Linked DNA regions of Rattus norvegicus. The protein of the gene in region 2 purifies or fractionates together with the protein of the main gene of each other region. This does not show direct contact. Links are inferred from orthologs where the notes say so. Each region holds a gene or a part of one and is shown on either strand. Other genes may lie near its edges.

Region 1 (7,221 bases), on a different chromosome or scaffold from region 2:
GAAGTTCATTTTATATGGATTTAAAGGTAAATCCATCAACATAGTGTATCTAAAAAAAAGTCTATTTAAAGTTAAGCCACACAACAGCAGGTTCCTTGACACAACAAAAACCTTAAGAATTATAAAGAATTGAAAGCTATACAATATAAACATAATGAGTTAATGTATTCATATTTATCATCCAAAAGAATCACTAAGGCAAAAGATGTGACTAAAAGTAAGAGATATTTCAAATGACAAAGAATTCTGTGCATAATTTAGAATTATATCCAGGAGTCCACAACCATATGCCAGGGTGTAGCATCAAAAATATGAAACAAAAAGTGATAGGGAAAATTAATTAAAGAAAAATAAACAAATCCTCAATGGATGATTTCAATATGTCTCCTAGGTAGTAAGCAGGGAAATAGTAAAATAATTTTTAAAAATAGAGAATTTAACAGTTCTACAGATAGAACACTGCATTTGGTAGTTGAGGAATACAGGAAATTTTTAAATACAGGAAATGGGGGGAGGGCATTTGATCACAAAGAAAGTCTTGGCAGATTTCTACTAGAAATCACTCAAATTCTCAAGAATGACTGAACTGTGAATATTCTTACATGCTACAGTACATACTGTGCTATGTTAATAAAATACCTACGCTGTGAGAAGAAACAAGCCAAAGACATCCAACATGCTATAAACCACACACGAGAACATTAGTCAGACATAAACACACAAAGTTTTATGCTAACTATAGTGTTTAGAGTCCCACATGCAAGCATAATGTTATTGCGCCCTGTGTAAAGATTATCATTGTATTTTTCCAATGCTGATTTCTGTGCCCCCATTTCTGGTTGCAAACCTTATTCTAAGACTCTGCTGTCTCTATGTTGTATAAGCATCACTCCCCAATTATTTCTTGATTAGTCAACAAAGCTAGTTGATCAGCCAGTGACTGAGAAAGGGAGACAATAGGGTTGAACTTCCATCTAGCCAGGGGAGGAGAAAAAGAGAGGAAAGAGTGGGGGAAGAGGGGAGGAGAAGGGAAGGGAAAGAAGGGGAGGGAAAAGAAGGAAAAGAAAAGAAAGGAGAGGAGAGGAGAGAGAGGAAGAGACACGTGAGGATTAGGCAATCTGAGAGTCCAGAGGCACCATGAGAAACACCTGGAGCCCAGAGAGTCCAATCAGTAGTACCAAATGCAAATATCACTGGAATTTTGCTTGGGAGGTAGACAGATTAGCATAGAGAACTAAAATAGAGTAATATCGCTCAGTTGTTATACCCTTAAAGCTTATTAAATAAATATAGTAGTCCAGTCTCAATTATTTGGGAGCTATCTGGGTTAAAAGAAAAACACAGCAACACACTTATTAAAATGCCACTAACACCCACAAACAGACGGCAAAACTCCAAAGACACCTCTCTCTCTCTCACAGTCACCATGGTGGCTTACTAAGAGAAAAGCTATGATTAGAGAGAACACACACACACACACACACACACACACACACACACACACACACACAAAGGTGTAGAATTTTCCCTTGTGACTTGGCTGTGGTGTATTAGTCAGCTAGGACTCCCACAATTAAAATAGATGGAGTACCTTAAATAACAGAAATTTGCTGCTCACAATTCTGGCTGGAAGTCCAAGTCCAAGGCATCTGTAGGAATGGCTCCTCTGGGCCTCCTGAACTGGCAGCCTCCTTCCTGTCTCTTCACAGCACTTCACCTCAGTGTGATTGTTCCCCTGTATGCTAATCTTTCCTTATTATAATGACATCAGTCCTGGGTTTGGACGAAGCCTGATTGCCTCAGTTTAACAAAATTGTTCTTTAAGAACCAAACGTATTCTCTAAGGGACTAGGAGCTAGGAACTTTAAGACGTGCCATCAACAACACTGGGAAAGCAAAGACAGGACATTGGGCTTGGGTGTCTAGGCAATCTAGCCTAAGCCAGTTAGAGACCCTGTTTGAAAAAGGAGAGAAAAACTGACCCAAATTCTCAGGACCACACCTAATGTTGTCCTCTATTCTCCACAGGCACAGGTCCAAGCACCGGCATATGTACACACACACACACACACACACATACACACACACACACACCCCACATCCTGTCAGACATTTCCAACATCCATCAACACCAAAGAAGGATCAACGAAGGTACTAGTTTGTGATTAAAGAAAACACAGTATTCAGAATTATTTCAGTTAGTTTTCACCCACCTAAAGGAGCGGTCAATGATTGTTATTATGTCTCCATGTTTCAGCTGCACAGGCTCATTTATAATAGTGCCATTTACTTGAGTTGGATTGGCGGAACTGAAATTATATAATATTGCCTACAAGGAGAGAGGAGACGCAAACACTAAGGTCTTGCTTCAAGTCAACTTCAAAAGCTTTAAGAGTTGATTTCCAAAGCCAACTTACCTCTTGTTCTTTGACTTCAATTTTGCAATGTTTTTTTGACACTACAGGCAGCTGTATACGAATGTCACATTCAATACTCCTTAATACAAAAAAAAGTAAGGGTTTTTATGAAGGTACAACTAAAAAAGAAATGCTCAAAATTTCAAATGAACAGAATTTGACTAGTATGTTTAGACTATAAATGTAACAACACAAGGACTGACAAGATTATCATGGGCAGTGCAAACAACGCTCACAAGTATTGCCAAGGAAGCCATAAAAGATCATTAAGACTTCTAGTACTTCAGAATGATTATATTAGAAAATACCAGAACACACAACCAATTACTTTTCATACAAGTAGTTATAATTACAAGACACGTATAAAAGAGAACTTTATATCCGTTCAGGAGAACTTCCTGATGTGTTTATAACAATATGGGTGTTTAAGGGCACAGAAGGAACTAGCATAAAATGTGCCGTGGGTAATCAATGCCTCAGTTTCTTCATACACAAAAGGTCTATACCAGCACCTGTGTTGCTATTCAGTTATAACTGTGTATGTCACTGGCACAGTTAATCCATGTGAGTTTTTAAGTTGTTGTTTTAAAACCACACCAAGTTGACAGACTCAGACGTCCTCACAATACAAACACTAATCCGCAAACAGTATCTAGATTAGAACATCTTTCTAGAAAGCTAGCACAGTGGTGGCACAGCACAGAAGGGACGATCCTAACTCAGTCAAAACCAGGAATTTCACTGATAGCTCCATCATGAACATTAAAGTCAGAACATACCCTACATACTGTTTTCCTATGAACCTCTGGCGTCTAAGTATATCTCTTACAATAAATAGCACACAACCAAATGCAAATTATTAACATTTTTAAAACTTGTTAAAAGTATATTTAAGTAATATTGCAGAATAATCAAAATGAATGACACCTGTGACAAGAATATTTACTTTCTTCTTTTAAACAACAACAGCTATAGAAATTTCCTTACTCTTACAGCTTCCTTACTGTCAAGAAAACAGAGGTTTTGGATATCAAAACACCAGGCAGAGAGACTCTATGTTGGAACCCAGTTTCACTGAGCAGAAAGAGTACCGCAATGCATACTACATACAGAATGCCACAGATATTCTAGATCAGATAATTCCTCAAGCGCTGATTCCTGTCAAATACACCATGTGTCTGTCCTCAGCAATACTAGTGGCAGATACCTCTCCCAGGATGATATGAAAATCTGTCACCAGACTCTGCCAAATGTCTGAAAACTACCATTCGTGCCTGAACTCCATCATCCTACCAGACACTCACCCTGTGTCACACACTGACTTAAGTGTCAGGCGCCATATGGAACCCTGGGGATGTAATCACTAACATGGCATCCCTTGCCTTGGAATTTTAGTCTACTGGGAGACAAACAAAAATCTAAAACCTAGTCACCAACCTGCATGGTGTTAGAAAAGACGAGCTTTCTTTAAATCACATTCTCAGGTAACATTTCAAAAGCGGCAGAAACTGCTTTAAGGGTCAAAGTTTGCAAAAGTGGCAACGCAAGCAACCGCCTGGAAGGCCTCAGGGTAGATTGCTATCCAGGGGAGGGAAAGAGGGGATTCTCCCAGAGCACCGGAGCAAGGCTCTCCTATCTTCACCTTTCCAGAAACTTCCAGAGCCACAGCTGGCTGCCTGAGAGTGGCAATGTGGGAGTTGCGGGACACCGATGTCAGCTTCGCGTCTACTTGGGAAGTTCTCAGTGTGTGAGCGTGACTTCCGAAAATGCTACAGGGGCAGCTCTGTCAAACGCAAAGGGCGGTAGGGGCGCGGGGTCGCTGCCCGCGGTCACCTCGGCCCCTGCGCGAACTCACCTTCCAAACAGGCAGGAGCTGAGGCTCAGCGGGAAGTGTGCGCCGTCATCGCCGCTCCGTTTGATGGTGACCAGGCGAGCTGAGGACGCCATGGTCCGCCCGGCCGTCAGTCCGGAGTCAGTGACTGCGGCCGAGGGCGGAGTAGCCCCTCTGTGAAGCTCGCCGTCTCGCCGCCCGGCCGCTCCTCAGCTGGTTCTGACAGCGAAAGTTAGCTCTGCCCGCGGCTCACCGGGTGCAGCCCGCGTCAGAACCCTCGGCTCCTCAGCCGCGGAGGTCCGACCACGGCCACCCGCGGCCTTCGCTCCGCCCCGACCCGCACACCCGCCGCCCGCCGCCCGCGTCCCTGGTACACACGGCCGGCCGCCCGCCCGCCCGTCCCGAGTGTCCTCCAAGGCGGTTCCGCGCCAAGGCTGCCCGCCGTGCCCGCCCAATTCAAACGAAAACGGCGGTTCAAATTCTGGCGCTAAGTGCTGCGATTGGGCCATACGGGCAGCGAGAGACCAATGGAAAGGGCGACATAGGATTGGGGAAGTCCAGAGGTGGAGCCAGGATGCGGGCCTGGTGGTGAGGCGGAGCCGGACAAGTGGGAGGGGCCAGGCCGGTAGGCGGGGCTGGGCCCGGAACTGGCCGGAGAAGCGGGACCAGGCCAGAGTTACGTGCAGGAAGGCGGGCCCCCGAGGCTTTCGTAGGCAGAGCGTCCCAGATTTTCAGCGGCAGGGAAACAAGCAAGGCTATCTGTAAAAAGCTACCTATACGCCGCCTCCCCTGGAATCAAACACCAGCAACGCCGTGTCTTGCTCAGCACTAGAAGCTTCATATTTTAAAAATTAAAGCCCTTCCTCTGCAGTTTCCTCATCACCGCATGCCTTTTCAGTGTCCCACAAACTGTTCTTTAAAACGTGGAGGATATTACATTCATCCTACAGTCTCCCTGCTTAGTGAACGCGGAGGCAGTGGCACGGTTTTTCCAAAACCATAAAGAGTTATTGCTCAGCACAGTTAAGTTTGCAATGCGTTGCTGCTTCGGGGTGGAGGTGAGGGGAATACCAGTTGAAGTAACCTGTGCAAGACTACACCTGCAGGGCTGGGGATTTAGCTCAGTGGTAGAGAGCTTACCTAGGAAGCGCAAGGCCCTGGGTTCGGTCCCCAGCTCCGAAAAAAAGAACAAAAAAAAAAAAAAAAAAAAGAAGACTACACCTGCAAATCCTAAGATAGGGATCCTGGGGCACCAGTTGGGGTTTACCAGGACAAGTGCCAGGCAGATGAATTCATGCTTTGCTGTTCTCTTTTTTTCATCCTCCCTCCTGTTTCTGGATCAGCGTACTTCCAGTAGGGTGTTGTGAAAATTCCACTCCTGGGGCAATATAACCAATATCTATCTACCCTCTCCTCAAGGTCTCAAGGACAAGCCTTAAGTATGAAGCCACCAAATTTCACCCTGGGAAACCAGTGTATATTAGAGCATCCTGACCCAGGCAGGCTGATTAGTTATAGCATACCTGTTGGCCTCCACACCTAAACCTCTGGTCAGGACTTCAAAGATATATTTAGGGTGTCATTGGGCTTCTTTGTTTCTATTCACTATGTGTCCACACTGTGTCTTTCACTGTCACCTCTTTAATTAGTCTGTTGAGGATGGGTGGTCCAGCCTGCCTTGTTAGGGCTGTCAGGATCCAAACTTTACTGTAGCCACTTGGGCATTACCTTCTCATCCCCAAACATAAGCAATGCACCTAATAAGGGCATCTCACGATGTCATCTACCAAATGCAATTAAGATTTAAAAAAAGGCAAATCACCACACACACACACACACACACACACACACAGAGATATTTAAAAAGCAAATCAGTTCATACACACATACATACACATATATCATAAATGTGTATAAATGTGTGTGTCTGTGTCTGAACATGCAGATATGAGTACAGGTAACCTCTGTATCATAGAAGAGAGCATTGGATCTCCCAGGGCTAGAGTTACGGGCAGTTGTGAGCCTCCTGAAGTAGCTAATGAGGCCTGAACTCAGTTTTTCTGCAAGAGCAGTGAGACCTCATAACCACTGTGCCATCTCTCCAGCCCTCGTTTCATATATTTTTAATTGTTTTTTAAATGTGCTTAAAATTTAAGCTTTATGCTTTGTTTTAAATTATAGCCTTGAGGAACGTAACGTTAAGAGCCACAGCGTCTTCGCCACTTTTCCATTGCCATGACCAAACACCGTGACCAAGGCAACGTATAAGAAAAATGTTTAACTTGGGGCTCACAGTTCCAGGGAGTTAAGAGACCATCATGGTGGGGAGCATGCAGGCAGGCAGCTAGGCATGGCCCTGAAGAAGTAGCTAGGGACTTATATCTGATCCACAAATGCAAATGCAAAGCACATAAAAGAGAGAAAGAGAGAGAGAGAGAGAGAGAGAGAGAGAGAGAGAGAGAGAGAGAGCGCTCAGGATGGTGTAGATAATTTAAACGTCAAAGCCCATCCCCAATGACATACTTCCTCCAACAGAGCCAGAGCTCCCAACCCTTCCCCCAATGGCTCTACCAACTGGCAACCAAGCATTTAAATATATGAGCCTATAGGGGCCATGTCATTGAAGCCCCCTCCCACCCATGGGATCATATGAAAAGCCTTTGTAAGGCTACCTAGGCATTATAAAAACACCCTATACTCTCTTCCTCATTCCTCACTTTAAAGCATACATTCTCACTCATCTTCAACTCTTTAGTCTCACTTCCCTCCTGCTCATCCAGAAGTTCTTTTCAGCAACATTACCAAAGAAAGCGAGGGGTGGGGGTGCGGGGATGTGGAAGGGGGGGTCCTGTTGATAGCGGCTCTGCTGGGCTTTGTCTGCCCAACATTGCTGACACCTGCACCAGTAGAGAGGACATGCGAAGTCTTACCTCATCCCCCATCTCCTCACCACTGTCACTGGGCTCCCTTCAG
Region 2 (6,581 bases):
CCTAGGACTGGAGTTTCAGACAGTTACAGGCTGACATGTGACACTGGAAACTGAACCCAGTCTTCTGCAAGGACAGTAAATGCTCCTAACAGCCAAACTGTCTCTCCCATCTCTTGTCAATTTTCTTAAACAAAACTGTTAACCTAGAAAACAGCAATTCTGGCTCCACGGAGATGAAGCTAGGCAGCTCCAGGGCTTACTAGCCAGCCAGCGTTACCTAATCTGAGAGCTCCAGGTCAGCAGAGACCTTGTCTCAAAAAAACAAAGTACACAGCTCCCCAGGGAAAATGGCAGAAGTTGGCCTCTGGCTTCTCCCTGCATGCACAACTCATAAAAGAAAGCTTCACGCACATCAACAAGACCCTGCTTTCTGGCGGGTGCTACTCTAACTACTGTGCAGTTACCACACCGCAGTCCGTCCTCAGTGAACCCGCACACCCCAGGGAAACACCTTCTATCCTCTCCCTGTATACAGGCTCCTCCCATTCTCTACGCCTGTTAAGTCTCACATCCAAAACCTGCCCAAAGTCCTAGATTCAGACCCTTACCTGTGATGCTGGCACTTTGACCACATGAGGTGGTGTCCCTGTCACTGGAACAGCCCCACTGGGAGGAAGGTTCTTACTAGTCACAGACGCCCAAGAAAATGTCTAGGGAAGAACAGGACACATCAGAGCCATTAGTTTCTGCTTCCCATTACCTCTGCAACACTCACAGGCAGGAGAGTCTAAAAGCATCTGCCACCCCACACTATGTACTAAAACAGTCTTAGAAGCAGCCAAGCATAGCAGCACACCCATAGTCCCAATATTTAGGGGACTAAAATAGGCCAGCCTGGGCTGAATAGTTAGATCATCTTAAAGTCAACCACATAATTACAATGAAGAAATAAAAATGTAAAAAAACTAGCAGAAGGTAGGGTAGTAGGGGGCACACCTTTTTAAGTTCAGCACTTGAAAGGCAGAGGTAGGTGGATATCTGAGTTCAAGGCCAGCTTGGCCTATAGAGCAAGTTCCAGAATAGCCCAGGCTACACAGAGAAACCTTTTCTCAAATAAATAAACTAGCAGAGAGTGGGTTCGTGGCTCAGTTAGCAGCTTTGCACAAACTCCTGGGTTTAGTCCTGAGTGCCTTATAATCAGGCACAGCAACACAGAACTATAATCCCAACAACCAGGAGATAGGAGCCAGAGGATCCTCCTCAGCTTTGCTTGGAGCTTGAGGCCAGCCTGGGACAACATGAGAACCGGTCTCCAAACAGGAGGAGCTCCGTAGCAGCCAATGCCTGGCACACACAACACCCCCATCCCCGTGACCTGGGACTGATCTTTAGCATAGCAACAAGAAACAGGTAATAAGACAGCAATACAGTGCTAAGCCACAATCCGTACCCTCAAGTCCTCCTGTGCTGGGGCCACGTCTGCCGGGGCCGGGGAGGCGCTCTTCTGCACATCCTCAGGAGCGGCTTCTTCCAATGCAGGCTCAGGCTTGTCCTCTTGAATGTCGGACACAGGTTCCGGTTCCGGCTCTGGCTCCGGCTCTGGTTCTGGTTCCACAACAGGCTCCTCTAAATGTTCCTCCAAGTCATTGCTGTCATGGGAAAATTCAACGGGTCTCTAGGACTCAGCCAGACACTTTGAGCCATCTAATGACTCCAGAGAGAGTTCTCAGGACCAGAGCTTGTTTGCTAAATTCTGATGAACATAACGATCAAACAGAATCAAGTGGTTCCTCATTCAGTTCCTATTAATTAGCTTATTAATATATGTATCACAAAACCCTTGTATTGAATGGGTTAGAGAAAGATCAAACTCTCTGAGGCCTAGCACAGGTCCAGTAAGTCTAGTAAGGCCAGTCAGTCTCAAAATATAGTAAATGTTATCATCTGTGGCTTTAGACACACAAAACAGGCCCTATAGAAATACACAAGGGGGTGGAGATGTGGCTTACTAGTTAAGAGCACGGGCTGTTCTTTCTTCCTGAGGTCCTGAGCTCAATTCCTAGCACACACATGGTAGCTAACTATGTGATCCAATGCCCTTTTCTGATGTGCAGAAGCACATGCACACAAAACACCCACATACATATAATAAATACATCCTTAACAAAAAACACACTCCAGGAGTCCTGGAAGAAAAGACACAAGTTAGACTCGAGAACAGTGGTTCCATTCCCACACCAGCTGCCAAGGAATGCTTGCTGACCCTGGCCTTGTTCTTCCTCCTGATACCTGACCTCAGTATGTAAGTCTGCAGGAAAGCACATTCTTCACTCTCAGCCTACGGTGAATGAACAGGTGTGACCACACCTTGATAGACACTTGAAAGGGAGCGCTGAACACTGAAACTCAGGTTTTGACAGTATGGAACAATCATGGCACAGTGGCCTATCAGGACCATAAAAAGACTAAGACAACACCACTCATTATTTGTGATTATGAGAAAATTTTTAACAAGGGTTTTCTCATGTAGCCCAAAACTGTCCTTTTAAATAAAAGTATTTTTTATATGTCTACATATGTTTTTAAGTGTATACAGTGCACCAAAAAAACCATGATTCCTGTAACTGGAGTTAACAGAAGTTCTAAGCTACCATGTGGGTGGTGGGAACTAAACTCAAATATTCTGCAAGAGCTGCCAGCAACCTTACCACAGCTGAACAGTCTCTCCAGCCAAGAGAGCCTTAAATGTTTTATTGCACTTACTTATTATGGGGAGGAAGGCTGAGACACACATGTCATGGCACACATGTGGAGGTCAGAAAATAACCTGAAGTAGTCAATTTTCTCCTTCCAACACGGGGTTCCAGAAATCTAACTCAGGTCATCCTATGTCACTACACTCTCTCTGAGCCACAGAACTGGGCTAAAAAACTTCATTATTACTCAGTTTATGGCTTTGAAATCTTTTTTTTAAAGATTTGTTTATTTTTTTTTATGTGAGTACACTGTAGCTGTCTTCAGATACACCAGAAGGCATCAGATCCCATTACAGATGGTGGTGAGCCACCATGTGGTTGCTGGGACTTGAACTCAGGACCTCTGGAAGAGCAGTCAGTGCTCTTAACCGCTGAGCCATCTCTCCAGCCGGGTTTGAAATCTTATTACTCTAGTTAAATGAGCTCTTCTGATACATGTGTGGGAGCCCACAATCTCAGCATCTTGAATGCTCAAACAGATGTTCTAGGCTTAGCCTCAGCTAAGTGGTGAGCACTTGTCTTCAAAACAATTAGCAACCTGAACCATATACATTCATCAGTTTCCACAGTACATCCTATAAAATAAAGTTGCATATTGCTAGTTATTCAGAAATAACACAGTTAACATCTTTTCCTAAAAACTTACTATTGTTTTGTTGCTGAGCTCATGGAGGCTGTGTTCAGCCTCTAGAACACTGGGAACAGGAATGTGTCCACATCTGACTCACTGCTGAAGGTCAAACCCGAGACTCGGTGAACACTTACCAATCTGTCTGTCACTGACACGGACACCCAGACTCCGCTCACCTCCTGGAACTCATGCCTAGAAGACAGGTCTGTCTCCAGCACAATCCAAGTTCTTACTGCAAGCCTGAGCAAGTGAAGGGAAGTTCCCTTACCTAACAGTCTGATCATAGAAAGTTCCAGAGTCATCAGCAACCACCTCTGGTGACTGCTGTCTTTCTTCAGGTTCCTCTACTTCTTCCTCAGATTCTAAGAAAGGAAGAGACATAAAATAACTTCACTCTATACTCATAAATTTCTTAATCTACAGGCTCTACTACAGACACAAAGAAAAACACAGTAAAGAAAGCAGGGCAATTTGGTAAAGCCACAACACAGACTTTAAGGGAAAAATTAAGTATTTTAATTAAGAACACAGAATCTTAAAAAAAAAAAAAAAAAAAAACTCTTTAAGTCTTTAAAAAAGCTGTTTACTCCTGCCTTACCTTCCTGTCATCATAACTCCCCACCCCACCAAGATACTTTATTCCCCTTAAACTGTGAGCAAAAACAAACAATAAAGGGCTGGAGAGATGGCTCAGTGGTTAAGAGCACTGACTGCTCTTCCAGAGGTCCTGAGTTCAATTCCCAGCAGCCACATGGTGGCTCACAACCATCTGTAATGAGATCTGATGCCCTCTTCTGGTGTGTCTGAAGACAGTTACAGTGGACTCTTACAGGATGCACCTACAGCAGGCCCTCCCACCTACAGAATGAAGGACTGCACCTAATGGGTCTATATATTTAGAGCTCAGTACACACAAAGACTATCTCCCCACAGGTCTGATCCTACACCCTAGTCGTCCCTTCCTTCCAGGCACCTTCTACACTTTCAATAGCATAAAGCTTTAGAACAGAGCCAAAGGCAAGCACCTCCACTGCCCATTCCACACAACTGGGGAATCCCTAGAAAGACTGCATGCCACTACCACCACTCAGTGCAACACAGGTCCATCAGGCCTTCTGCATGGTATTCTGCACTGAGCCATGCTAACTGGCCTGCTTCTGACCCAAGAGTAACTTATTCATTCACATTAACTAGGTGTGGTGGTTTGAAGAGGTTTGGCCCTATTAGAAGGTATGGCCTTATTGGAATAGGTATGACCTTGCTGAAGGAAGTGTGTCACTGTATAGGAAACTCTGAGGTCTCCTATGCTCAAGCTCCACCCTGTGTAGAATCGGCCTCTTCTGGGATGCCTTCTGATCAAGACGTAGAACTCTGGGCTCTTCCAGCACCATGTCTGCCTACACACACTGCACACTTTCCGCCATGATGATAATGGAATGAACCTCTGAAACTAAGCCAATTAAATGTTTGCTTTTTAAGATTTGCCTTGGTAGTGGTGTTTCTTCCCAGCAATAAAATCCCTGTAAACCCCCTTACACTGGTGATTCATAAAATACAGTGTAACAAGAACCTTCTCTTATGCCACACAAGTAACCATGACAACAGCTTCACACTTACCCTCTTGAGGCTCTGTGACAAAGCCACCGAAGACCTCATCTTGGTATCTGAAGATGTCATTGTGAACATAGAATTTGTTGGCAACAGAGCCCTGCAATGTCAGCAACAAGTTTTCAGTTATTCACACTTATAAAACACTGAACCATGAGTATTTATCTGCTTCCTGTTTCTGATGGAATTAATGTGGCCAGCCTCCTCATATCCCCCCACTGTCTGCTATGAAGGACTGTACCCTCAAAAAAAAAAAAAAAAAAAAAAAAGTGAGTCAAAGCAAACCCTTCCTTTAAAAAACAAACATGACTGTACCAGTGGTTCTCAGCTATGGGAGGGTTTGGCCCCAGCAGACATCTAGCCAAGTCTAGAAATACTTGTTTCACGGCAGGGATTGGCCTCTACTAATCAGATTGCTAAGTGCCAACCGCATTCAAGACAGCCAATGTCTTCGCCAAGACTGAATGCCCTACTGTTTGAAATCGATTGTATGCAATTATAAAGAACCTCATAGACATTGTTAAAATATCCCATCCTTACCACCAGATGGTCACCCACAGAGAGAGAGAGAGAGAGAGAGAGAGAGAGAGAGAGAGAGAGGAGAAGGGGGAGGAAGAGGAGGGAAGGAAGGAAGGAAGGAAGGAAGGAAGGAAAGAAGGAAAAGTCTTTTATAAGATACAAAAGACGGAACATTTTCAACCACTCAGAGGCACAGTAGTTTCAACTCTAGCAGGAATTTAAAATGCCCTGACTCTTAATCTAACCGTATCAATCCAAATGTGCACGGTGGTGTAACCCAGATCTCTCCTGTGATTTAGACACACAAGCCCGAATCCAATCATCTTACTGATTAGCTGTTCAAAATTTCTAAAGCTGTCCCTTCATTCACAAAAAGTGGAATATCAAAACATACCATAGTGCTTTGTGTACTGACGTATTGTGTACTGTAGTTTATACAATAATACATTTCCTTAAGGGAGATAAACGCTTCCCTTGAAAGACAGAGGGACACTGAGTCTATAATTAATAATATAGGCTGTAAAATCTCGTATATGGAGAAGTTAACAAGTAGTCATTGTCCTCCTCCTCTTCCTCCCTCCTCCTCTCCTTTTTTCTCTTCTTCCTTCCCACCTCCTCCTTCTTGTGATCAAGTCTTTCTTCTTCCTTCCTCTTCCTCCTTCAAGATAGCTCTTGGTTTACTGTGGGCTGGCCTAAAGCTTGCAAACCTCCTGACTCAGCTTCTCAAAAGGTGGAGTTACCGGGCTGGAGAGATGGCTCGGTGGTTTAGAGCACTGGCTGCTCTTGCCGGGACCGAGACCCAATTCCTGACACCCACATGGTGGCTCACTGCCATCTGTATCTCCAGTTCCAGGGAATCCACTATCCTCTTGTGGACTCTGGAGGCACTACATGCATGCAGACAAAAAACCCATACACACAAAAACAAAAATATTCATTCATTCATTTATTCATTCATTCATTTATTTTAAAGCTGGAATTTTACTCTAAATCCTGCCTACACCCTCAATGGTGGTGCTAGAATATCTGAAATTCTAGCACTTATGAGGCTGACAAAGGAGGTCACTGTGATTTCTAGGACAGTCTGAGCTACATAATGAGGTTCTATCTCAAAACAAAAACATCCT
Region 3 (7,381 bases), on a different chromosome or scaffold from region 2:
CTATACAACAACGGTTTCATTTAGAGGTCTGCCTTGCTAAATCCACAGTAAGCTCTACATACCAGACACCCAACATCACCACCGCAAACTCCCAAAATGCTTACGTGTAAGAAGATAGACTGCTGTCATAGGTGGTCTTCACTCCATAGTTCTCCTCATTAAATTTGAACATCTCATTAGGATCCCATCCATTAGACTACGAGAACAAGAATGTTTAGAACTCAGTAAAAAAAGGGAAGATAGCATGCCATTTCGCCTCCACCAAGTTAAAAACTCCTGTGGAAACTGAACACACTGACATGCATCTATTAACAAGACGTTTTTGAGAAATGGTCTTGTGTTCTAATTGCAAGGAAGGACTGCCTCGAGTCCTTGGTCCTCTTGTTTTCACATTCTAAACTGGAATTACAGGGGCTATCATGGCTTTTTCAAAAAAAGAAACTCAAAAACCCTTTTTTCCTTTACTTCTGTAGGTTTGTTCCTGTGGTGTGGTAGGCACGTGAGTCAAAGTCTGGGGACGATCTACAGGAGTCTGTTCCTTTCCATCACTTGGCGTGGTGGCAGGCACCTTTAGCTGCTGACCCACCTTGTCAGCTTAATTTATACCTAAGCTCAGAGGTAGCAGTGTGAAGAAGCACAGTCCTACACAGCACCACTTCTCTCCTCGGCTTTTATAAAGATAGACTTTTTGTTATATAGTCCAGACTGTTTGGGAACTCACAATTCTTCTGCCTCAACTTCCCCAAGGCTGGATTAGAGGGTATGGGTTATACCATGCTCAACTTAAGACTTTTTACTACAATAACAAGTGCTGCCATAGAGAAAGGTTAACAGTTTTCAATGCAGAGGATGGGAAAACTGACCCATCCTCTTCTACCCTTCTTTCCAAAACAGACCCTAAAACAAAAATGAACAACACTCTCCTCCAAACACGAACACCCCACAAAAAATAATGACTGTCCACATCAACAACCCATGCCAACCACAACTCAGCCCGCCTGCTCTCAGGAGCAGAGAACATACCATATCGGATTCCAGATCGTAGTCATCACTGTTGCTGTCACCGCCCTCCCAACGCTGAAGCACCTTCTCTTTGTGTTCTCCATTCACCTTAGAGTTCATGGCAATGGCTGAGTCAGTGAACTTGTCTGTTGGCCAAGGTGAGAAAGAGGGTTAGGTGATGCACCCCCTTCTCACCCTCATTCCCAACCCCAAGTGGTTTAACACAAAGAAAGAAACACCAGATTTAGTTTTATGGGAGCAGGTAAGACTAGTGAAACAGATCTAGATGGGATGGTGAATGCTGGTAATTCCAGCACTCAGGAAGCAGAGGCAATCCAAGCCTAAGGAGGCTAGCCATATATACAAAGACACTCAAAACAAACAAAAAAGGCCCAATCTAATAATCCAAATGCTAAAGGTGAAAGCATGAAACAGGAAAACAGGAGTATCTACACCACTAGTCACATTCATTGGACTCTATTAGGTATCAAGATGTTTTCAAGAACTCAAGTCATCGCTACTGAAAAACGTACTGAAAAAGATAAATCAAGCCAATTTGTCCAACCCATGGGCTTCCTCTACTCAGTTTCTTGGCACAACAGTATAGAACAATACCTTTAGTAGCATAATTGAAGTCAACATTTCGGAAGTGGACAAGCAGAACATCACTTGGTTTAAACACCATGGTGTCCACAATGTCTTCCCGACGAGGCCCACCTGCTGGCTCAGAGGCTTTCCGATGTACCGCATCTACTGCCAGTTCAAACTACAAAAGCCCCATTCCCAACATTCCAGGGTCAGTATCAAAGGGAGGAAAAGATGGCTTCTCTCAAAGCTTTCTAGTCTTTCAACATCAAATTCTCATGTTGTTCTGCATTTCTCAACATCAGCCAGAGAACTTAGCAAAAGCCTCAAAACTGCCTGCTCTCAACCCTACACAAACCTCAATTGCACTCTCATACACAGCTTCAGAAACTCCACGATTTGAGTACACTGACCTTTGAGCTCAGCGTCTTGAAAATGCCCTCATAAGTGGTGCCATTTTTCACTTTTACATCACAGGTAGAACCCTAGCAAGGTGAAAGATTAAGTCACTTTAAAAAACTGAAACAGCATATTCCTCAGACACCCAACGTTAAAGCTCTCACTTACCACTACAGCTGTCAGGAAATGCAGCATCCTGGAATTGTTATAGACACCTTCAAACACCTGTCACACAAGAAAAAAGCAAAGGGCAGCAGGTGAATACTCTTTCTTCCCAGACTGTCCCACCCTATGTCTTCTGAGTCTTTACAAGAGGAAAAAAAGGCACTCACTGGTGACTGTGGGGGTCCCTTTCCGGTGGTCTGTCCCCTGTTAAAGAGAGAAACTAGTTTTAATTAACAGTGAACCCTAGAACAATGTACCATGTCAACTTGCTGATTTAGGCTACGGGCTGATTAACAAATGCTCACATTAAAGAGGAAAGCAGGAATTACTTGCTAAAACATTTTCTCCAAATTCAAGATTTTAAAAAGCCAACAAAAAATTCAATAAACAATAGCTGTCAAATGCGGCTAACAGCCAATGCAATACAACCTGACTTCCTCCAAGGGGACTTCACTCTTCCCATAAAACACTGCTGTATTTGTAAACCAACAGCCCAATTCAGTTGTGAAGGTGAAAGCTCGGGCACCCCAAATGCAGCACTACTGAGCTTAGACACATTACCTCCCAAAGGAAAAAAGCACTTTCAGCAGCCTTGGATTCCAAATCCCAGGAGGGGTATACTCTCCACACCCCACCCTTTCGCCCTCATTATTTTCATTCAGCCTGTTACCCACTCTGAAAGGATCCCCAATCGCCAGGTAACACAGCTCCTCGACGGCTGATGTAACCGGCAGTTGAGGAGGGCGAGGAGGGGGCCGTTGGCGGGGCTGGGGGACCGCGCAGCCGCAAAAACCATCCACCGGGATGCCTCGCCCGGTATGCGCCTGCGCACTAAAGCCCATAGCCCTCCACCCGCTCTAGAACAGAAGCCACTGCGCCTGCGTCTAGTGGCTGCTTCTAATCGCATTGACACACCAAGAAAACCGAGGGCACCCACTCCTCACTCACCAACACCAGACGCCCCTAAACCCTCCAACCAACCCCCCCCTCCTCAGTCTTTGCTCTACGTGTTACCGGGGCAAGCCAATGCCCGAGTCATAAGACAGCATCCGCGCGCACGTACGGGCAGGGAGCGCGCGCGCAGGAGCTTCCCAGTCTGCAGTCTTCCCAGTAGCCGCTGCTTCCGCGCCCCCGCCCACTCCGTTCCCCTCTTACTGGCTACACCGGGAAGAGGAGGGAACAATCTGCTCCCAAGTCCCTCCCTTCCCATTGGTCAAACTGTGGGCCGCGCGCCCCCCCTCTATTGGCTACAGCCGGGGACCCCTTCATGCAGCTGACTCCCCATTGGCTGAAACCGGGGACCGCGAGATCCTCCGTGGTAATGGAGCTGGGGACCCCATCACCTCCTCAACCCCCCCAACACCCTTTTCCGACGGAGCTGGCGGGACGCGCCCCGCCTCCCCTCAGGGCCCAGACCCCAAGCGGTGACTAGGCCCAGAGAGCCGAGCACTGCCCCCAGGCTCCTGGAGACCGCCCGGAGATCTTTCTCTCCGACCTGTTGGCACGAGGGTCTACCCCCTCCTTCACGGGGTTCTGGGCCCTAAGAGCCCCTCAACAGCGCCAAGCCCCGGCGCGCCTCCGCCAAAGCCGAGTCGCTGCCACCTGGGCTCTCCCCAGCCAGGAGTCCCGTTCTCACCTGACGCTGCCGATAGCCACTGCCCCTGGCCGTTCTTGATGCTGCTGCGGCGCTGGCGCCGCCAAGATGCTTTCGGCTCCGCGGCGGAGCCCGCTGCCGGCAGCGGCTGCAGGCCCCAGGCACGGAGAGACCACTGTGGGAGGCCCCGGGGGAGCCGCGGTAGCGGGCAGCGGTCCCGGGAGGCCGCCGTTGGGAGGGCTAGTCCCGCCGGGAGGCCGGCGAGCCACGGCCTGTTGCGTGGGGGGCGGCTGCTGGGGCTGGGAGGTCTGTTGTGGCGGCTGAGGCTTCAACATGATGGCAGCGTCCGGAAGAGAAATTAGAGGGAAGGGAAAGAGGGCCTGAGGCTGGGCCCCTGCTGGAGAGCGCGGGAAGCGAGAGAGATCGCCAAGCAGGGGACCCGCCGTTGGCGGGCGGGGGGAGCCCCGCGGTGTCAGGGGTGGATTGAGAAGACGGCGGCGCGAGGAAGCGCCGCGAGGCGGAAGGGGAGGGGGGGATGTCGCGGGCCGGTGGATAGCGAGAGGGCGCGAGCCGGCTTGGCGCGCGTGCGCGTCGCTGGAGAAGGAGAGAGGGAGGAGCGCGGGCGGAAGCGCCGGCGGGGGAGGGGCGCGGGGAGCGCCGCCAGGCGGTTAGTTCCGGAAAGCAGAAGAGGCTCCAGTTGTGGCTCAGACTGGTCTAGCCCTTAGGGCGGAAAAGGAGCCGCGCAGGCGCCTAGAGCACCTCTAGGTTCCGAGCCACCTTAAATACTGGCGGCCGCGGTTGCTTCACAACGAGTGTGGGAGGGGCCAAAGCCAGGAAGGGGAAGTGCCGGTGGACCCGCCCCTCCCACGCCACAAGCGTAACGTCAGAAAGTCTCCGCGGTGGTGTGAGGTATCACGTCGTAGCGTGAGGTTCTTCCGCCACTGGGTGAGCGGTGGGCGGAGTCTCGTGGGCCAAAAAAAAAAAAAAAAAAAAAAAAAACCCTAGGACAAACCTAGTACAGGTAACTTTAAGGCAGGTGGGTTTTTAAATATGCTGTTCTCCATCTTACCTCCTTTAGAATATTAATGAGCATTAGAATGACTACTTGAGCGTAAGTGCATCCTAACAAAGGTGTCCAATTTGAAACTGAAATTCAGTGACTTTTTCTGGGATAGTGAAATCCAGAACAGTAACAATACAGGCAGTCTGGAGGCTAGACTTCTAAGAGTATATTACAGAACCCAGCCCAGGCTGCATAGCAAGACACTGTCGGAGAATCGTGGTACAATGCTTGCCTATAAAGGCAGCCGTCATTCAAAATGAGGGCAGCTGTGGTGGTTCACAACTTCAATCCCAGCACTAGGAAGGAAGGGTAGGAGGATCAGAAGTTTGAGGCCAGCCTGGATTATATAAGTTCCAGGTCAGCTGGGCAGACCTTGTTTCAGAAGGAAGACAAGTTGAACATTGGTCCATGCTTTGGGCACAAGGGTAACTAAGAAACTCAAAGCTCAAAGTAGTGCAAGATTTATATAATTTGACCAGAGGTACTTGGTAAAACAGAGCAGGAAAATGGATTTCTATACAGGTGGAATAGATCTGACAGCTTGGATGGAGCCTGAAAGTCTCACTATTTCCTTTAGCTGGCTTTCACCTCCCTGTGCCAACCAGGGTGGTCTTAAACTTACAGAGATCTGTCTGCCTTCTTCCTAAGTGCTAGGATTAAGACATACATCATCGGGGCTGGGGATTTAGCTCAGTGGTAGAGCGCTTACCTAGGAAGCGCAAGGCCCTGGGTTCAGTCCCCAGCTCCGAAAAAAAGAACCAAAAAAAAAAAAAAAGACATACATCATCACACCCAGGTTTTGTCATGGAATGTTAACCTAAAATCCTACTATTGGTGAACACAATTCAAAAATTAAATATAGGATTGGGTGGACACTAACAAACTGAACATAGTTGTATAGATGAGTCCAAATCTACATTTAGATTAATAACCCATTGGAGGCAGAAAAATGGAATTAATTAAAGTCATCCCTACATATTTAGTTTAAGGCCAGCAGGTCAGGTGAGACTTGGCACACACTTCCCAAAAGGTATGCGAGCAGGGGAAAGATAAATAGATCATTTGGTAGCAGTGTACAAAATAAAAATTTGTGTACTCTGTGTGTGTGTGTGTGTGTGTGTTTGACCTCACAGGCCAGACGCTGGCATCAGGTCCCCTGGGACTGGAATTAGCAAATGTAAGCTGCCATGTGGTTGGGTTGCTAAGAATCAAAGCCAAGTCCTCTGAAACCGAGCCATCTCTCCAGCTCCCAGAGTTTTAAATTTTTATTTTATGCATATGTAAACTTGAGTGCATGTATGTACACCATATAGGTACTGGACACTGAACCCAGCACAGCACTCTAAACGGAGGAGCCATTCCCCCACCCTTCTTTTTGAGTCAGGGTCTCTCTTTGTAGTCCTGGCTGTCCTGTAACTCACTGTGTAGACCAGACTGGCCTCAGACTCTGAGATCCACCCTCCTGTCTCTGGAGTGCTTGGATTAAAGCACTTGAATAAAAAGGATGTGCTGTGCTACCATGCCACACACACACACACACACACACACACACACACACACGTTTGATGTCATATATCTAAGGCTAGCTTCAAACTTGATGTATGGCCAGGAATAATTTATAATTCTCTAGGCTCTAACCTCCCGAGTGCACCATACCCACTTCAGTGCAGTGCTGAGGTATAAGCCCAGGGCTTCACATGTTAGCCAAATAACTTGACCAACTGAGCTAAATTCCCAGCCCTAAAGCCCAGAGCTTAAAATACTATTTTCTGGCTAGACCTGATGGTCCAGGCCTGTAATCTCAGTACTTCAGAGGTGAAGACAGGAGAATCAGGAGTTCAAGGCAAGCTTCAGCTGTATATCAAGTTTAAGATCACCCTGAGCTAGATGTGTCAGAAAATAATTACTTAAGTTGAGATTTAGTTCGGTGCTAGGACATTTGCCTAGCATGTGTGACACACTGTGCTGGAAACTCAGCATGGCAAGAAAGAAAATATTCAGGAAAAAAAAAAGATATTCAGGAATTAGCTTGAAGGGGTTCTGGTGGCGGCTCAAACCCGGGACAATTTGCACCACAAGATAAATGTCAATAATAGATGATAGCTCACAGAATAATAGGTTAGAAACATGCTTGCAAGTTGGGCATGGTGACATAAACTTTAATCCCAGCATTCAGATGAAGAAGCAGACGGATCTCTGTGAATTCCAGGGCTATGTAGACCTTGTCTCAAATTTTTAAAAAAATGGTGGGGTGAGGATGCTGCAGGAATGGCTCAGTGGTTAAGAGTGCAGGATAGTTGATCACATTGGAAACTCCAAGATTGTGAACTGGAAAGACCAACAGGATTAAATGAAGTCAATGACAGGTGAAGAGGCTGATTAAGTAACCAGCTGAGAGGGACTCAGCATAAAGAAGTAAAAAGGAGAGAGCTGAGTAAAAGGTATTTAAGACAGTGTGGAGAAAGAAGGGGCTTTTTCCTTTCGGACATCTGGATTGGAGGAGGAAGGTCAGCTGGGCACTTTCTCTGCCTCTTGAGCTCGCAGGTTTTTAACCCCAGGATCTAGCACCTGAC

What was found.
Region 1: the proteins of G3bp1 (region 2) and Mki67 purify together in Homo sapiens (affinity purification with mass spectrometry; 3 studies listed by BioGRID and IntAct, with this or other methods). This does not show direct contact. The link is inferred for Rattus norvegicus from reciprocal best matches to the Homo sapiens genes G3BP1 and MKI67.
Region 3: the proteins of G3bp1 (region 2) and Atxn2l purify together in Homo sapiens (affinity purification with mass spectrometry; 4 studies listed by BioGRID and IntAct, with this or other methods). This does not show direct contact. The link is inferred for Rattus norvegicus from reciprocal best matches to the Homo sapiens genes G3BP1 and ATXN2L.

Annotation. Positions count from the first base shown.
Region 1 is NC_086019.1:199,947,984-199,955,204, forward strand, and holds the start of Mki67 (proliferation marker protein Ki-67), read right to left. Parts: upstream 4,611-7,221; 5' UTR 4,365-4,610; coding exon 4,273-4,364; intron 2,497-4,272; coding exon 2,418-2,496; intron 2,330-2,417; coding exon 2,214-2,329; intron 1-2,213. UniProt on the Homo sapiens protein: Protein that associates with the surface of mitotic chromosomes and acts both as a chromosome repellent during early mitosis and chromosome attractant during late mitosis.
Region 2 is NC_086028.1:40,106,435-40,113,015, reverse strand, and holds part of G3bp1 (ras GTPase-activating protein-binding protein 1), read right to left. Parts: intron 5,036-6,581; coding exon 4,945-5,035; intron 3,690-4,944; coding exon 3,596-3,689; intron 1,590-3,595; coding exon 1,391-1,589; intron 651-1,390; coding exon 549-650; intron 1-548. UniProt on the Homo sapiens protein: Protein involved in various processes, such as stress granule formation and innate immunity. Plays an essential role in stress granule formation.
Region 3 is NC_086019.1:190,516,083-190,523,463, forward strand, and holds the start of Atxn2l (ataxin-2-like protein), read right to left. Parts: upstream 4,498-7,381; 5' UTR 4,081-4,497; coding exon 3,788-4,080; intron 3,470-3,787; exon of another isoform or gene 3,378-3,469; intron 3,333-3,377; exon of another isoform or gene 3,201-3,332; coding exon of another isoform or gene 3,166-3,200; intron 3,074-3,165; exon of another isoform or gene 3,059-3,073; coding exon of another isoform or gene 2,713-3,058; intron 2,356-2,712; coding exon 2,319-2,355; intron 2,212-2,318; coding exon 2,155-2,211; intron 2,073-2,154; coding exon 2,001-2,072; intron 1,769-2,000; coding exon 1,618-1,768; intron 1,149-1,617; coding exon 1,024-1,148; intron 197-1,023; coding exon 105-196; intron 1-104. UniProt on the Homo sapiens protein: Involved in the regulation of stress granule and P-body formation.